3 linked regions of the Saccharomyces cerevisiae S288C genome follow. The gene in region 1 interacts genetically with each later gene. Each region holds a gene or a part of one and is shown in the gene's direction. Other genes may lie near its edges. The genes, in order: YBL036C, YHP1 and YLR159W.

The links.
Region 2: mutations in YBL036C (region 1) and YHP1 together harm fitness less than expected from each alone (positive genetic interaction), as found in Saccharomyces cerevisiae (one large-scale study listed by BioGRID).
Region 3: mutations in YBL036C (region 1) and YLR159W together harm fitness more than expected from each alone (negative genetic interaction), as found in Saccharomyces cerevisiae (one large-scale study listed by BioGRID).

What each region holds. Positions count from the first base shown.
Region 1 is NC_001134.8:148,684-153,987, reverse strand, and holds YBL036C (pyridoxal phosphate homeostasis protein), read left to right. Parts: upstream 1-2,767; coding exon 2,768-3,541; downstream 3,542-5,304. Other genes in the region: STU1 (Stu1p), read left to right, coding at 1-140; DNA-directed DNA polymerase alpha subunit POL12, read left to right, coding at 378-2,495; APL3 (Apl3p), read right to left, coding at 3,702-5,304. UniProt on the Saccharomyces cerevisiae protein: Pyridoxal 5'-phosphate (PLP)-binding protein, which may be involved in intracellular homeostatic regulation of pyridoxal 5'-phosphate (PLP), the active form of vitamin B6.
Region 2 is NC_001136.10:1,359,864-1,365,610, reverse strand, and holds YHP1 (Yhp1p), read left to right. Parts: upstream 1-3,429; coding exon 3,430-4,491; downstream 4,492-5,747. Other genes in the region: thioredoxin peroxidase TSA2, read left to right, coding at 1-539; PPN1 (endopolyphosphatase), read right to left, coding at 709-2,733; 40S ribosomal protein uS13 RPS18A, read right to left, coding at 4,813-5,206, 5,642-5,688.
Region 3 is NC_001144.5:482,559-487,733, forward strand, and holds YLR159W (uncharacterized protein), read left to right. Parts: upstream 1-2,786; coding exon 2,787-3,131; downstream 3,132-5,175. Other genes in the region: asparaginase ASP3-3, read right to left, coding at 1-1,079; YLR159C-A (uncharacterized protein), read right to left, coding at 3,153-3,284; asparaginase ASP3-4, read right to left, coding at 3,643-4,731.

The sequences.
Region 1 (5,304 bases):
CCAGTGCCGTGGTATTAGCTCGTTGTTTGAGAGTCCTCCAAACTACTCCAGATTATACTGAGCAAGAAACCGAACGATTATTCGATTGTTTGCCTAAGAATGTCTTTAAAATGATCATGTTCATCGCCTCAAACGAATAGAGAATAGCGTGGTAGACGCGTAATTTTTTTTTACCGTGACGCGTCTCACCAGAGTTTCTTAGTTCTTTCTCTTTTCTAAAACTGTAATAATATGAGCTCTTTGTAGACACATATAACATTTTGTTTCATATACATAATATATTTGCATATAAAAATATCAAGATAATTGATTGTCAATTGGTTCAACAAAGCTTGAAGGTAAATTTAGGCAGGAGCAAGTGACTGAAAAAAAAAAAAATGAGCGGATCTATCGATGTCATCACTCATTTTGGGCCTGATGCAGACAAGCCGGAAATCATCACTGCATTAGAGAATTTAACTAAACTGCATGCATTGTCCGTCGAGGATCTATACATTAAATGGGAGCAGTTCTCCAATCAAAGGCGTCAAACTCACACAGATCTGACTTCCAAGAACATAGATGAGTTTAAACAATTTTTACAATTACAAATGGAAAAGCGTGCTAACCAAATTTCATCGTCCTCTAAGGTAAACACATCCACAAAAAAACCAGTGATTAAAAAAAGTTTGAATTCAAGTCCCTTGTTTGGCCTTAGTATTCCAAAGACTCCGACTTTAAAAAAAAGAAAGTTACATGGTCCCTTTTCACTCAGTGATTCCAAGCAAACATATAATGTAGGCTCTGAGGCAGAAACAAATGAAAAAGGAAATAGTTCTTTAAAATTGGAGTTTACTCCAGGCATGGCAGAAGATGCTGTGGGTGACAGTGCTCCATTGTCCCACGCTAAAAGCTCGGATGCCAAGACTCCCGGCTCGTCGACATTCCAAACTCCAACAACAAACACTCCTACCACATCGAGGCAAAATGTTCCTGCTGGTGAAATTTTGGATTCTTTGAACCCTGAAAATATTGAAATATCATCTGGTAATCCAAATGTAGGCCTTCTTTCGACTGAAGAACCATCATATAACCAGGTCAAAGTAGAACCATTTTATGATGCTAAAAAGTATAAATTCAGAACAATGAGGCAAAACTTACAGGAAGCGTCTGATGTCCTCGATGATCAAATTGAATCGTTTACTAAGATTATTCAAAATCACTATAAGTTATCTCCAAACGACTTCGCTGATCCAACTATTCAATCTCAGTCCGAAATTTATGCTGTTGGAAGGATAGTTCCAGATTCGCCGACCTACGACAAGTTTTTGAATCCAGAATCGCTTTCCCTAGAGACCTCAAGAATGGGCGGCGTTGGAAGAAGGGTAAGGTTAGATCTATCGCAGGTCAACGAGCTTTCGTTTTTCTTAGGCCAAATTGTGGCATTCAAAGGTAAAAATGCTAATGGGGATTACTTCACCGTTAACTCTATTTTGCCGCTACCTTATCCAAACTCCCCAGTGTCCACATCGCAGGAACTGCAGGAGTTTCAAGCAAATTTGGAAGGTTCTTCTTTGAAGGTTATCGTGACCTGTGGCCCATACTTTGCAAATGATAACTTCTCCCTCGAATTGTTGCAAGAATTTATCGATAGTATAAATAATGAGGTAAAACCTCACGTCTTGATAATGTTTGGCCCATTTATAGATATCACCCATCCTCTGATAGCGAGTGGTAAATTGCCAAATTTTCCCCAGTTCAAGACACAGCCCAAAACATTGGACGAGCTTTTTTTGAAGTTATTTACTCCTATTCTAAAAACCATATCACCACATATCCAAACCGTATTGATACCCTCCACAAAAGATGCAATTTCTAATCACGCCGCATATCCACAAGCTTCTTTAATTAGAAAGGCTTTACAGCTGCCTAAAAGGAACTTCAAATGCATGGCTAATCCTTCATCTTTTCAAATAAATGAGATATACTTCGGTTGCTCAAACGTTGATACATTCAAAGATCTAAAGGAAGTCATAAAAGGCGGTACTACCTCATCAAGATATAGATTAGATCGTGTTTCTGAGCATATTTTACAACAGCGCAGGTATTACCCCATATTTCCAGGTAGTATTCGTACAAGAATAAAACCAAAAGACGTATCTACGAAGAAGGAAACCAATGATATGGAAAGCAAAGAAGAAAAAGTTTATGAACATATATCTGGTGCAGATTTAGACGTGAGTTATCTGGGACTAACAGAGTTTGTTGGTGGGTTCTCGCCTGACATAATGATTATACCCAGTGAATTACAACACTTTGCAAGAGTTGTCCAAAACGTAGTTGTTATAAATCCCGGAAGATTTATTAGAGCAACAGGTAACAGGGGATCCTATGCACAAATTACTGTCCAATGCCCTGATCTTGAAGACGGGAAATTGACGCTTGTTGAAGGTGAAGAGCCAGTTTATCTACACAACGTGTGGAAGCGCGCTAGAGTTGACTTGATTGCTAGTTGATATATTTAATTCAAACTTAACTAATGGAATAGCTCAAGGTAGCACCAAAAAGTATTGTTATACACCTGAACTATCGACCTTGAAACTGGCTCTATAACTTACTTATTGATTAAAGACCATAACATGATCAGTATCCGGGTAATAAAGTAACGTGATCAGAGGCCAGAGAAAATGTTCATAAGTAGAGACTACTCTTAAATGCATAATAAAAAAAAAAACTGATAGGCATCACTCTTTCCTTTTTGACTAAGATTCCAGCATCACATTGCAATATGTCCACTGGTATTACTTATGATGAAGATAGAAAGACACAATTAATTGCCCAATACGAATCTGTAAGGGAAGTTGTGAATGCAGAGGCAAAAAATGTTCATGTTAATGAAAATGCCTCCAAAATTTTATTATTGGTTGTTTCGAAATTGAAACCAGCTAGCGATATACAAATTCTTTACGACCATGGTGTGAGGGAGTTCGGGGAAAACTATGTTCAAGAGTTGATCGAAAAGGCAAAATTACTACCAGACGATATCAAGTGGCACTTTATTGGCGGTTTGCAAACGAATAAATGTAAAGATTTGGCTAAAGTGCCAAATTTATACTCTGTTGAAACAATCGACTCCTTGAAGAAAGCCAAAAAATTAAACGAATCGAGGGCTAAATTTCAACCAGATTGCAACCCAATATTGTGTAATGTTCAAATTAATACCTCCCATGAGGATCAAAAATCGGGCTTGAATAATGAAGCAGAAATATTTGAAGTCATCGACTTCTTCTTATCCGAAGAATGCAAGTATATTAAGTTGAATGGGTTAATGACTATTGGTTCATGGAACGTCTCTCATGAAGATAGCAAAGAAAACAGAGACTTTGCTACGCTGGTTGAGTGGAAGAAGAAGATTGATGCTAAATTTGGTACATCATTGAAATTGTCTATGGGGATGAGTGCTGATTTCAGGGAGGCTATAAGGCAAGGAACAGCGGAAGTCAGAATTGGTACCGACATTTTTGGTGCTAGACCTCCAAAAAATGAAGCTAGAATCATTTAGTAGGTTGAATGAACTGAGATTTTATACGAAGATCTTTTTTTTTATAGCATTACAACACAAAATGAAAATAAATAGAATCTCAAATATATATATATATGTGTGTGTGTGTTTATATATGTACAATGCGGATGATTTTCATTATAGTGAATTTGAGAAAATTTTACTTCGTAAGCACATTCTTTATACATTCGACAATGTACTTCGCCAGGGGACCGGCCGTCGTTGTTTTACAGGTAACATTAACTGTTCCATTTACCTGGTATTGTATCTTCATTAAACAACCGAAGTTTCCCTCACTTTTCGTATGAATAATACCCGAGACAAACAATGTACTACGAACACTGGTCTGATCGACTATATCAAAGCCCAACCTCTTCACTGTTTGCGTCAATAGTAGAAGTCCGTCTTCTAAACTGATTGTTTCAACTTTTCTAAAATCCTTGTTGAGCTTTATGCCAGATTTTTGGTATTCTCCCTCTTTTCCCAAAGCATCGCTCAAAGTCTTCCAACGGCTGATGAACTGTGCCAAATTCAAATGCATGCTAGGATTGACATCGCTGCTAATTAGTGTTGTAGTCATGCCTATGGCAGTTTTCAAATTGATAGTGTTTGTACTACCGCCACATTTGAAATGAATTGCCAAAATTGGACTATCTTCAACGTCGAAAGGTTTTCTTATTGAAACTTCATAGCTTTGCTCTGCCCTTTTATGGGGCCCAATAGTAGCAGTAGAAGGTGTATTAATATTCATAATTAAATACTCAGGATTACCTTGCGTTTTTGAAGGGATAATCTGTGTGGATAATCCCGTGATTTCCCACTCAGTCAGGTTAATGAAGGCAAGAGATATATGAAACACGTATGGCTGTTGTGCATCAGGAGTGGTTATCCGATAGAAAACTTTCATCAAAGATGATGTGAAAAGCACACCCTGCTTATGCGAAATCATTCTTGTGAAACCTTCCCTCCAATTTGGAGCGAGGATCTGCCTTGAATAATAAGAGTCCTTTCCTGAAAAGTCTTCAGATGAACTAATTTTGGAATTTACATCATCAATGGTGTTCCTACGAGATGGTGGGGGCATGGGAACCATGATCGACCTGGAAGAGTTTGCTCTTTTTGATAGTAAGTCAGGCGTGGAGGAGGATGCTTCGGATGGTGTATTTATTAAAGTTGTGCTACCCGCTGATGCCGGCAGTGACCCTAATCTCTTCAATAATGGATTAGATTTGCTGTTAAAAGGCGGCATTGGTTCAAATAAAATTTGCAAAATATCTGTATTTCCGTTCACCTTAGCCAGTTGAATAATGTTGAGATATTCGAAGGATCTTGTTTGCAACTCAATATCAAGAGAGTTCAATTCCAATTGGAAAAATTTGATGACGTTGGAGCCGATCTCAGGTGAGGTCTTGTACAACTTGATCATCGTAGTCAATATCATCGCCTTAGCCACATTTGGTGCACTAAAATATTTCTCGGCAAACAAAGTAAATAAATTTGCGCTTGAAATCCTGTCTGTTATGAGACTTGAGTACTCCCCTAGTAGAAAAGCCGCAGCTTTAATAATAGCTTCAGATGCTTGCTTTTTACATAAATAGTCCACCAACCGTTCACATGTTATTCTATGTAAAGATGGATTGTTCACTACAATTTGACATAGTCGTTGCCAGATCTCATCATCGTTAATAGTTGTATTTGAAGTTAATGATAGCAACTGCAACGAAATAATTACAAACCAATTGATATCCGTGGCATATTTCTCG
Region 2 (5,747 bases), on another chromosome or scaffold:
TCGACGGTATCTTCGAGGAAATTTCACTGGAAAAGTATAAAGGTAAGTACGTTGTTCTAGCTTTTGTCCCATTGGCTTTTTCATTTGTCTGTCCAACTGAGATTGTTGCGTTTTCCGATGCCGCCAAGAAATTCGAAGATCAGGGCGCCCAAGTTTTATTTGCCTCCACCGACTCTGAATATTCCTTACTGGCATGGACCAACCTTCCCAGAAAAGACGGTGGATTAGGTCCAGTTAAAGTTCCTTTGCTTGCTGATAAGAATCATTCCTTATCCAGAGACTATGGCGTTTTGATTGAAAAAGAAGGTATAGCTTTAAGAGGTTTGTTCATAATCGACCCGAAGGGAATCATTAGACATATCACTATCAATGATTTATCTGTTGGCAGAAACGTCAATGAAGCTTTGAGATTAGTCGAAGGTTTCCAGTGGACTGACAAAAATGGTACAGTTTTGCCATGCAACTGGACCCCAGGAGCCGCCACCATCAAACCTGACGTTAAAGATTCCAAGGAGTATTTCAAAAATGCCAATAATTAATCTTCGCACGATAACGCTAGGCCCTATTAAATAATTAAAAATACATCACCCTATATATGATAAGAAAGATGGTTTTGTATTATTATGAAATTGACTTGAAAGAATAGTGTAACAAAAGAAAAAGAAACTGTAATTGAAGAATGATATGCATTTCTATGTGTATATTAACTTAATCATCTTTATATCCAGAAGACGCAAATGACCATTCGACGTATTTTTCCCATGCAGGTTTGTTTTCGTATAATCTGCCTGCAAGATCCAAATAACTTCCTACTGTTAACGAATCCATTGAGTATGGTTTCTCGTCTGAGGTATATTCTATCTCATACCTGAAAATATCCTTAGATTCAACAAATGAATTATGTAATTCTTGATTGATTTTTTCCAAGTCGGCGTAGAATTGGACGAAACGCGTCGGAGTGAATAACTGCGGTACATATGCAGGGCCGAGTTCGTATTTGTCTGGCATCTCAATTGGCATAGTCTTGTCATTTTTCTTTTTCTTCTTGTTTTTCTTTTCGCCCATCTTCTCGCGGTTGATCCCAACCTCGATATTACTGCTGTCCATTTCATCTTCTAGCAAAGAGTCTTCCATAATCTTATTTAGTGACTCGAAAAATTCATCCCAGGGCTTATACTCCGAAACTGCAAAATTGGAGTCATTCACTATGTCGGTGATGTTATATTCCCAGATCCTAAAGGAAGGATTGAAAGTTGGAATGACTGAACCACCTATGTTCACAATGGAATAGCGTTCAATGAGCTCTTTTCTAGTGATTGGCTTTTTCTTTTTTTTGTCCTTCTTTTCTTTCTTTTTCTTCTCATTTTCAACATTTTTTTCATCCACTCTTTCCAGCTTATTCCACACTTTCCGATAGTATGTGTCGCGGACGGTGTTCATATATGCTTCTTTGTTAGATGGTTTCGCTCCCATTAAAAAAACTTCTTTTGCCGCCATAGCGTGATCCAGAATTCTATTCAATTCAGTTTCTTCGTCCTCTTCATTACTGTCTTCTCCTTGTTGAACACGAGTGGATTGCTCCATGGCTTTCAATAACGATTTTCTAGCTTTTTTACCATCCGTTGGGATGAAGTGGTCAATATTCATGTGACCGTATAATCCTCCAATGATTATATCCCTGTATTCGTGAGTCCATAGCGTGAACTTATCGTAGCACGACTGATCGAAATTTTTTGCGATTGGAGGTACATGTCCACTTAACCATACTTTCATTCCCCTACTCCTTAGTTCTTCTAATACATAACCGAACCAAAGTAAAAGTTGGTAACCTGGTTCTTTTTTTGAATTACAATTGTCAACTAACGGATTGGCCTTGAATAAGTACAGCGTGTTAATTGACAGGACAGCAAGCTTCCCTGGAATAACTTCAGTCAAAAATGAAGCACTCCTATCAAAAGTTCTTTGCTGCTGCTGCGGAACAAAATTTTTCCAAATCCTATAATATTCTCTAGTTTGTAGAGTTGGTCCTAGTGCAAACATGTTATGTGGAAAGACATCATTGTTTCCAAGACTTGGAATGACAGACACATCAAAATCTCTTGGATCTTCTTCATTGCCAGCACTAAATAATTCTGTCATTTTATCAGCAACGATATTGTTCATATCAAAAATTTGTGCTTCTGTTCTTGGATGTTTCCGGTCATTGTCATGTCTGATATTATCACCCGTCCAAATGACAAAATCAATCTTATCTCTAAGATTTTCTTTAATCCATCTCAGAGTTTCTTCCATTAAAATAACGGGAGAATCACATCCAGACATTGCCTTCCCAAACTTGGGTGCCACATCCTTTTTTTTGCTTGGTTTTCCTGTGTGACAAACTGCATCAATAGAGCTTCCTTCCACATAATAAGGGTCAGGATGAATATCGGTAATATGAAGGAACCGTCCATGTAATTTTCTCTCCTTCCCTGTCTTTACGTCTTTGATAATTACTGGCTCCCTAGGTGTCAGTCCTAGCCTTGTAAATTCTATGTCATTGAGCAATTGAAGTGACTCGTTGTCCCCCCTGTCATCTAAGAATTTGGAGAAAACGGAAACATATTGAAATTTAGCACCAATTATAAACACGAGGAAAAACAAAACACAGGTCGACAGGATGGCAATCAATGATTTCTTCTTCGGCCTACTCATGCTTACATTGCGCACTTCACTCTTACCCACTACAACCATCGAAAAGCAGCTAACTAGCTCTACCCCTACTCAATGAAAACAATAGCTGGAGACAAGGAGATCAAAAAAACTTTATAATTCTCCAACCCAACAACCAAAAAAAATATTGATCTGTTGATTTTAGCCTTCTTCTGACTTGTATTCTACCATAAAACCCTTTACACTCTCAAATGAATCTTGGTAATTAAAAGTGCAATATAACTTTAAAGGTGCTAAATTCTAATAACGACATATGTCCTCAATAGTCGGGTAATGGTCATATTTGTCCTCTACCGTACGAAGGGAGCATATTATGCATCCTGCTCGAAACGCTCAGAGAAGGGCCGCACAGGTGGGCAGATCACATTTCCTCTTTCGGCTATAAACCACGTCCTAATTTGGACATGACGCGCGCCAAAAACCCGGAATGGTAAACATCAGACGCGCTTTCCGTGCAGGGATACGTCGGTATTTTTAATATCAATGCTGAATTGGGTTAATAGCATGAGACATTTCAGCCAGATTTTTCGTTTACTCATTGTTTATTTGTTTGATCTGGATCACACAGATGAATGTTTATAAATATATATATGGCGTCCTCCCGATCTTGCCAACGTAGATTATAATTCGTATTATCTTCTTCTTTACCCTCGCCAGCCAGTGTAACTAGCATTTGTAGGGAAATAACAATAACACAAAATATCGTATATATATAACATGGAAAGCAGAAATACCGTGCTTCCTTCTTTACCAAACATTATTACAGGTACTTCTAATTCGCCTTTCCAACTGCATACTTTGCCAAATACAAACTTCCCTAGTGATGACCAAGGTGACATCAGGTTGCCACCATTAGCTGCATCTGCGCACATTGTGAGACCAGTGGTAAATATTTATAAAAGTCCTTGCGATGAGGAAAGGCCAAAAAGGAAAAGTCCACAGGCTGTGGATTTCTTATCACAACGTGTAACCACTTCCATGACGCCTTTATCCAAGCCCAAGAAGCTGAGCTCTCATTCACCATTCACGCCAACGGTCAGAGTCTGTTCTAAAGAGCAGCCACCTCAGAGTATGCACTCTTATAAAAAAGTTAATATTCTTACTCCTCTATCTGCTGCAAAGGCTGTTCTCACACCAACCACAAGAAAAGAAAAGAAAAGGTCATTTGCCTTTATTACACACTCACAGGAAACTTTTCCAAAGAAGGAGCCTAAGATAGACAATGCTCGGTTAGCTCGTCGGAAAAGAAGAAGAACTTCATCATATGAGCTTGGGATATTGCAAACAGCATTTGACGAATGTCCCACGCCCAATAAGGCTAAAAGGATAGAGTTATCCGAGCAATGTAATATGTCCGAAAAATCGGTTCAAATATGGTTTCAGAACAAAAGGCAGGCTGCTAAAAAGCACAAGAACAGTGGCAACACCAGCCATTGCAAAGTTCACTCTAATGATTCGATGTCTATGATATCTTACTCAGACGCTGCGTTGGAAATTACCTCTACGCCAACGAGTACGAAGGAGGCTATTACTGCAGAGTTGCTGAAAACTTCACCTGCCAATACGTCCTCGATCTTCGAAGACCACCACATAACGCCTTGCAAGCCCGGCGGACAGCTCAAGTTCCACAGGAAATCTGTGCTTGTTAAGAGAACATTATCAAATACCGGTCATAGCGAGATTATCAAAAGTCCTAAAGGCAAGGAAAACCGCCTAAAGTTCAATGCATACGAAAGAAAACCCCTTGGGGAGGTCGATCTCAATTCTTTCAAAAACTAATCTTTCTCAGTGTTTATTTTCTTGAGCACTGATGCTATCAATATTAACAAAAACTACACAAAGTAATGACTGAGACTACACCAACGTTTTTTTTTAGATTTAAAGCGGCCTGTTTCATAAATCTATATAGAGATGTAATATTATATTCTTTCAAGGGTCCATTTATCCCTGAAACCCTGTACAAAAAAAAGGCAAGTTGAAATTATGGTCACAAAATTAATTTTCTTTTCTTTATTTATTTTAAAAAAAAGTCAATTAGGAAGTGCTATGGAAATATATGTACTCGTACAAAAAAGATTAAGCTTGAATAATCTTATCAGTTTAAGCTCTTCTTCTACCAGTGGTCTTGGTGTGTTGACCTCTAACACGCAAACCCCAGAAGTGTCTGATACCACGATGAGCTCTGATTTTCTTTAATCTTTCCAAGTCATCTCTCAATTTGGATTCGACGTTGTTAGCCAAAGTGTGGTAGTCCTTACCATCAGTGATGTCATTTTGACGGTTCAAGAACCAAGCTGGGATTTTGTAGTGAGTTGGGTTTTGCATAATTTGAACAATTCTTTCCAATTCTTCTTGGGTCAATTCACCAGCTCTCTTGTGTAAATCAACATCAGCCTTCTTACAGACCAAGTTGGAGTAACGACGACCAACACCCTTGATAGTGGTCAAAGCGTAAACGATCTTAATGTTACCGTCAACGTTAGTGTTCAACAAACTGCGTAAAAAAATTTAGACGGGAAACCGAACTTATTGATAAACGTTAGTAAAAAATGTGCATAATGGATTTCACGGCCAAGACAAAAATCGGAGCAGGATATAAAATTTTAGTGTTGGTTGGTCAATATCCGCCAATAGCTGATTCATTGTAAAGCATTCCCGGTACTTTACCTCCGACCGCTATTGCAATGTTCCGTAATTATGTGCGCTTATGCCAAATTCATGTTCCTTTTTGATGCATAAACCATAAATTTGTTCATCAGCCTTATTATTACGTTCTTAGTCCAGCCCGGGAACATCATTATTATATTTAATCACGTCGTTAGCGAATAATCGCCACGATTAAAGAGGTGAATGAATTTCCTTTCTTGTCTGTCATATTTTTAAGTTTTTAGCCGATTTTGTCATAGCTCACTAGTAATAATAAACATACCGTAAAATGTGTTGGAAGGAACCTTGTTCTTGGACAACTAAAGACATCTTTTATCCGCTCTTGTGTATACGTTCACTAGTATCTCAACGTTTAAAAACTCTACTAA
Region 3 (5,175 bases), on another chromosome or scaffold:
TAGACGCCAGAAAAAACAGACCTAATCTGATCCATGCCGTAGCCGGAGTACAAACATAATTGTAGCAAAATACGCGATTTTTGAGGGTTTAGGTAGCCAGATCCAATGGCGTACTCTGGGGCATCATCTGGAGGAACTGTACCATCTGCTGTTCTTCTGCTGTGAACAATTGGTATACCATACTCTTCATAAAGTTGTTCGTTTACAATACTACCCGTAGCAGTCCAGGAACCAGCTCCAGAACCCGCCAACACGATACCTTTTGCGCCCAGGTCCTTGACGGCCTTTACTATTAGCTCAGGATTCAAGCCTTGATAGGAGTACAGAATAATGACTTCTGGAATTTCCGAAGGGTCTGTGAGGTTGGAAATGTCAAAAAATTGCCATCCATTTGGCTTGACTGGTGGGTAGTAAAACTCCACGTCATCATTTGAAAAGTAACCTAAATATCCCTGTTCATCCGCTCTGAATGTATCTAAAGAGTTGGCATTCATTTTCGTTGTCCAAAACCCAGAGGCAATACGATCGTTTAGAGTGATCATCGTGCCACGACCCAGTGATTTCTCAGAAGCAGCAATAGACACTGCTTGATATAAATTCATTGGGCCATCAGCAGACGTGGCAGTGGCTGGACGCATAGCGCCTGCGATACATACTGGCTTCTCTGAATTTATGGTCAAATCTAAGAAGAAAGCTGTCTCCTCCATAGTGTCGGTCCCATGAGTGACAACCGCACCAGCGTAGTCATCAGAGGCTAGTGCCTCGGAGATACCGTGATACAATGGGATCAGATGCGTATAGTTTAAAGAATTTGAACCAACGTTAGACACTTGAAGATAGTCCAGATTTGCCTTCTCAGCTAAAGATGGGACGGCTTCTATTAAATCATTTACGGTTAATCCCACGCTATAACCCGCCGTTGTTGCACTTGTCGAACCCTTGGAAGCGATAGTACCGCCGGTACCAAAAATTTTGATTGATGGCAAAGAAGAATTCTTCTCTTCACGAATTTTTAGTAGTGGAGCACCACTGGACATTGCGACAAAGAGAGAAAGTAAAAGGGTATTTAAAGATCTCATAGTTGGAGGTTGGTGAGTACCAGATTGCTTACAAAAGAATAGCGAGCCAACATTTGCTCTGCCTCAGGCCTCTTGGTGCTGCTTGAAGACTCATCTTATATGGCTTTTGTATGTCATGATTTGTTCTTGTACATTATGTGTTGATATTAAACAAATTGATTTTTTTTTTTTTGCGATAGCAAGCAGATAATGAAAGAGACAAGGACTTGGAACATCCGATAAGACTGCGCCGATATCGATCTTACAGTCCTTCCCTTGTGTCATGACTTTCGGAAAAGCATCCTCGTCGACTGGTAGTTTGCTGTCTGTCACGTGCTGAAGGGTCTGATACATTTTTTTAAAGATAAGAGACGGGGTTTACCCTTCGGAGGACTAAGCGAGATCTCCAAGTAAAGATCTCGCTTATCAAGAAAGCAGCCAAGTGTGGAACGTCCTTTTTTTTGGTTTCAAAAAGATATTCAACAGTTTACACTGCAGCTTTAATTGCCTCAAAAGGATATCATGAGGTGATCTAGGGTCAGAAGGGAAAGATTACAGCATCTTGAGTTGAATCACATCTGCAAAAGGTGGTATTATTGACGTTGCTCTTCCTTAATGGAAACTCATGGGGTTTGGAAAGGAGGTGCGGTAATCTATTTTTTTCGAACACAAAACCTAACCTTGAAAAGAAACTGTCCAATTTCATTGAACTTACCTCAGAACGGGCCGGAGTCTTTGCTTTCAGTCTAACATGGTCTAATTTCTTCGAAAAGCTTCATTTAATTGTTAGACTGTGGTTTTACAAGGAAAAAACCAGTGCTATACTGAAGCGATACCCAGAACTAATTACCTTGTGTGACGATTCGGCTCAGCGAAACGGACATGGTAAAATTGGGAATTTGAAAGCAGGCAGCAGCCTTGTACAGCGACATGACGATAGGTTTAGAATCCCCATCACGTACGAGTTGAAGAATTCTACGAAGGCTCTATGCGTTATTCCTCTATCGGTATAAAGTGTAGCGTTGTAGGGGGGATATTGGTGGTTTAGTTGAATTTGCGCAACGAAATTATAGAACTCATAAAAGTTCAATTCAATACTTGAAACCCTTAACGTTGGTTCGACCATCAATTGTTTGGACATAATAGTTTTATTCTGCGGCCGATTTCAAAATTTAGTAAATCAAATGTTGAAGCATCACCAGTAGGATGACCACTCCCATGACAAAACTCCGTCCCAAAGATAGCTTGATCATCCTAAGCGGGTCGCATTTTACTATCCCCAGTTCCGAAGAATAACAAGGCTCAATGCATATGCTGTTTATCGTGCTCACAAGGCGGTATGACGTTTTTAGCAATGTAATTATATTAAAAAGATCTTCAGTCACTATGAGTGGTTGATTGCCCCATAGAGAGCTATAAGCCGACGTGAAAGCTGCTGGTTCCAGCTTGGCTCATGTCGTCACCAGTCACTAGTCACTTGGTCGCATTCATTGCTACTCATCTGCGAGTGAGCATATTTGAGATCTGACTTGCCAAGGGATTAGAATCACGTAAGACTCTTGATCCTTAGAAGATATTTCTGACAAAGAACCACCTAAGCCATGCAAGTTTTTTTTTTCATTTGGTGGCGAAACAAAGGTGATGAAAGTTTCTTCTTGTACAAACGCCAAGCCCGATAGGTGAGACAATTCTTGAAGTAATGGACCTCTGAGTAAGCATATCAGTCGAATGAAGTTCCAATATGCGTTGGCCAAGGAACAGCTAGGCAGCAACTCGCGCAGTGGCGTCAAAAAACTAATAAGTAAACACCACTGGCTTCCGGAATACTATTTCTCTGATCTCTCATTTTCTGTTGTACAGCAGTGGGACAGTAGAGCCATTGAAAAAACTACAATCATATCTTGTATGCGGCCCGCAAACCAAGAGATTTATCCTTTGAGACATTGTGAGACCCTCCGTTCGCAACCGTGCTCTCTGTTTTCATCACTATATGCACGCTCTTTCCAAAGCTCCTGCACTTTGCACGTGGCGGAGCCATCGCCCGGCTTCCATATGTACGGCTGCCACACCTAACTATTTCGGTTGCGGCCATATCTACCAGAAAGCACCGTTTCCCGTCCGATCAACTGTAGTTAAGCTGGTAAGAGCCTGACCGAGTAGTGTAGTGGGTGACCATACGCGAAACTCAGGTGCTGCAGTTGTTTTTTTTTTCGCGCACGAATACATCACGCAGCCTCGCCTTGACACTGCTCAAGGGATAAGGGGAAGGAGCTGAGATAGAACTGAGTTGGAGCGTTGCAGCGGCACGAGCAGTGAAAAGAGCGAAGAGAAGAGAAGCAGATAAAAGACCAAAGTAGCGATGATACTTCGATGTTTGGAGCGATTTTTCCTATGTGAATATTAGAAATCATATGTTTTGTATCAGCTGAACAGTGAATGATGTGCTCAATACTCAAATTCATCTTTTTGTTTGCTAAAAATAGCTTAACTGGCACATCATGAAAAGGATGTAGAAATTATAGAGTATATTTACTACTAAGAACTATATAAAAACACAGTGTGATGAAAAGTCACTGATCAGGCTTTAACCACCGTAGACGCCAGAAAAAACAGACCTAATCTGATCCATGCCGTAGCCGGAGTACAAACATAATTGTAGCAAAATACGCGATTTTTGAGGGTTTAGGTAGCCAGATCCAATGGCGTACTCTGGGGCATCATCTGGAGGAACTGTACCATCTGCTGTTCTTCTGCTGTGAACAATTGGTATACCATACTCTTCATAAAGTTGTTCGTTTACAATACTACCCGTAGCAGTCCAGGAACCAGCTCCAGAACCCGCCAACACGATACCTTTTGCGCCCAGGTCCTTGACGGCCTTTACTATTAGCTCAGGATTCAAGCCTTGATAGGAGTACAGAATAATGACTTCTGGAATTTCCGAAGGGTCTGTGAGGTTGGAAATGTCAAAAAATTGCCATCCATTTGGCTTGACTGGTGGGTAGTAAAACTCCACGTCATCATTTGAAAAGTAACCTAAATATCCCTGTTCATCCGCTCTGAATGTATCTAAAGAGTTGGCATTCATTTTCGTTGTCCAAAACCCAGAGGCAATACGATCGTTTAGAGTGATCATCGTGCCACGACCCAGTGATTTCTCAGAAGCAGCAATAGACACTGCTTGATATAAATTCATTGGGCCATCAGCAGACGTGGCAGTGGCTGGACGCATAGCGCCTGCGATACATACTGGCTTCTCTGAATTTATGGTCAAATCTAAGAAGAAAGCTGTCTCCTCCATAGTGTCGGTCCCATGAGTGACAACCGCACCAGCGTAGTCATCAGAGGCTAGTGCCTCGGAGATACCGTGATACAATGGGATCAGATGCGTATAGTTTAAAGAATTTGAACCAACGTTAGACACTTGAAGATAGTCCAGATTTGCCTTCTCAGCTAAAGATGGGACGGCTTCTATTAAATCATTTACGGTTAATCCCACGCTATAACCCGCCGTTGTTGCACTTGTCGAACCCTTGGAAGCGATAGTACCGCCGGTACCAAAAATTTTGATTGATGGCAAAGAAGAATTCTTCTCTTCACGAATTTTTAGTAGTGGAGCACCACTGGACATTGCGACAAAGAGAGAAAGTAAAAGGGTATTTAAAGATCTCATAGTTGGAGGTTGGTGAGTACCAGATTGCTTACAAAAGAATAGCGAGCCAACATTTGCTCTGCCTCAGGCCTCTTGGTGCTGCTTGAAGACTCATCTTATATGGCTTTTGTATGTCATGATTTGTTCTTGTACATTATGTGTTGATATTAAACAAATTGATTTTTTTTTTTTTGCGATAGCAAGCAGATAATGAAAGAGACAAGGACTTGGAACATCCGATAAGACTGCGCCGATATCGATCTTACAGTCCTTCCCTTGTGTCATGACTTTCGGAAAAGCATCCTCGTCGACTGGTAGTTTGCTGTCTGTCACGTGCTGAAGGGTCTGATACATTTTTTTAAAGATAAGAGACGGGGTTTACCCTTCGGAGGACTAAGCGAGATCTCCAAGTAAAGATCTCGCTTATCAAGAAAGCAGCCAAGTGTGGAACGTCCTTTTTTTTGG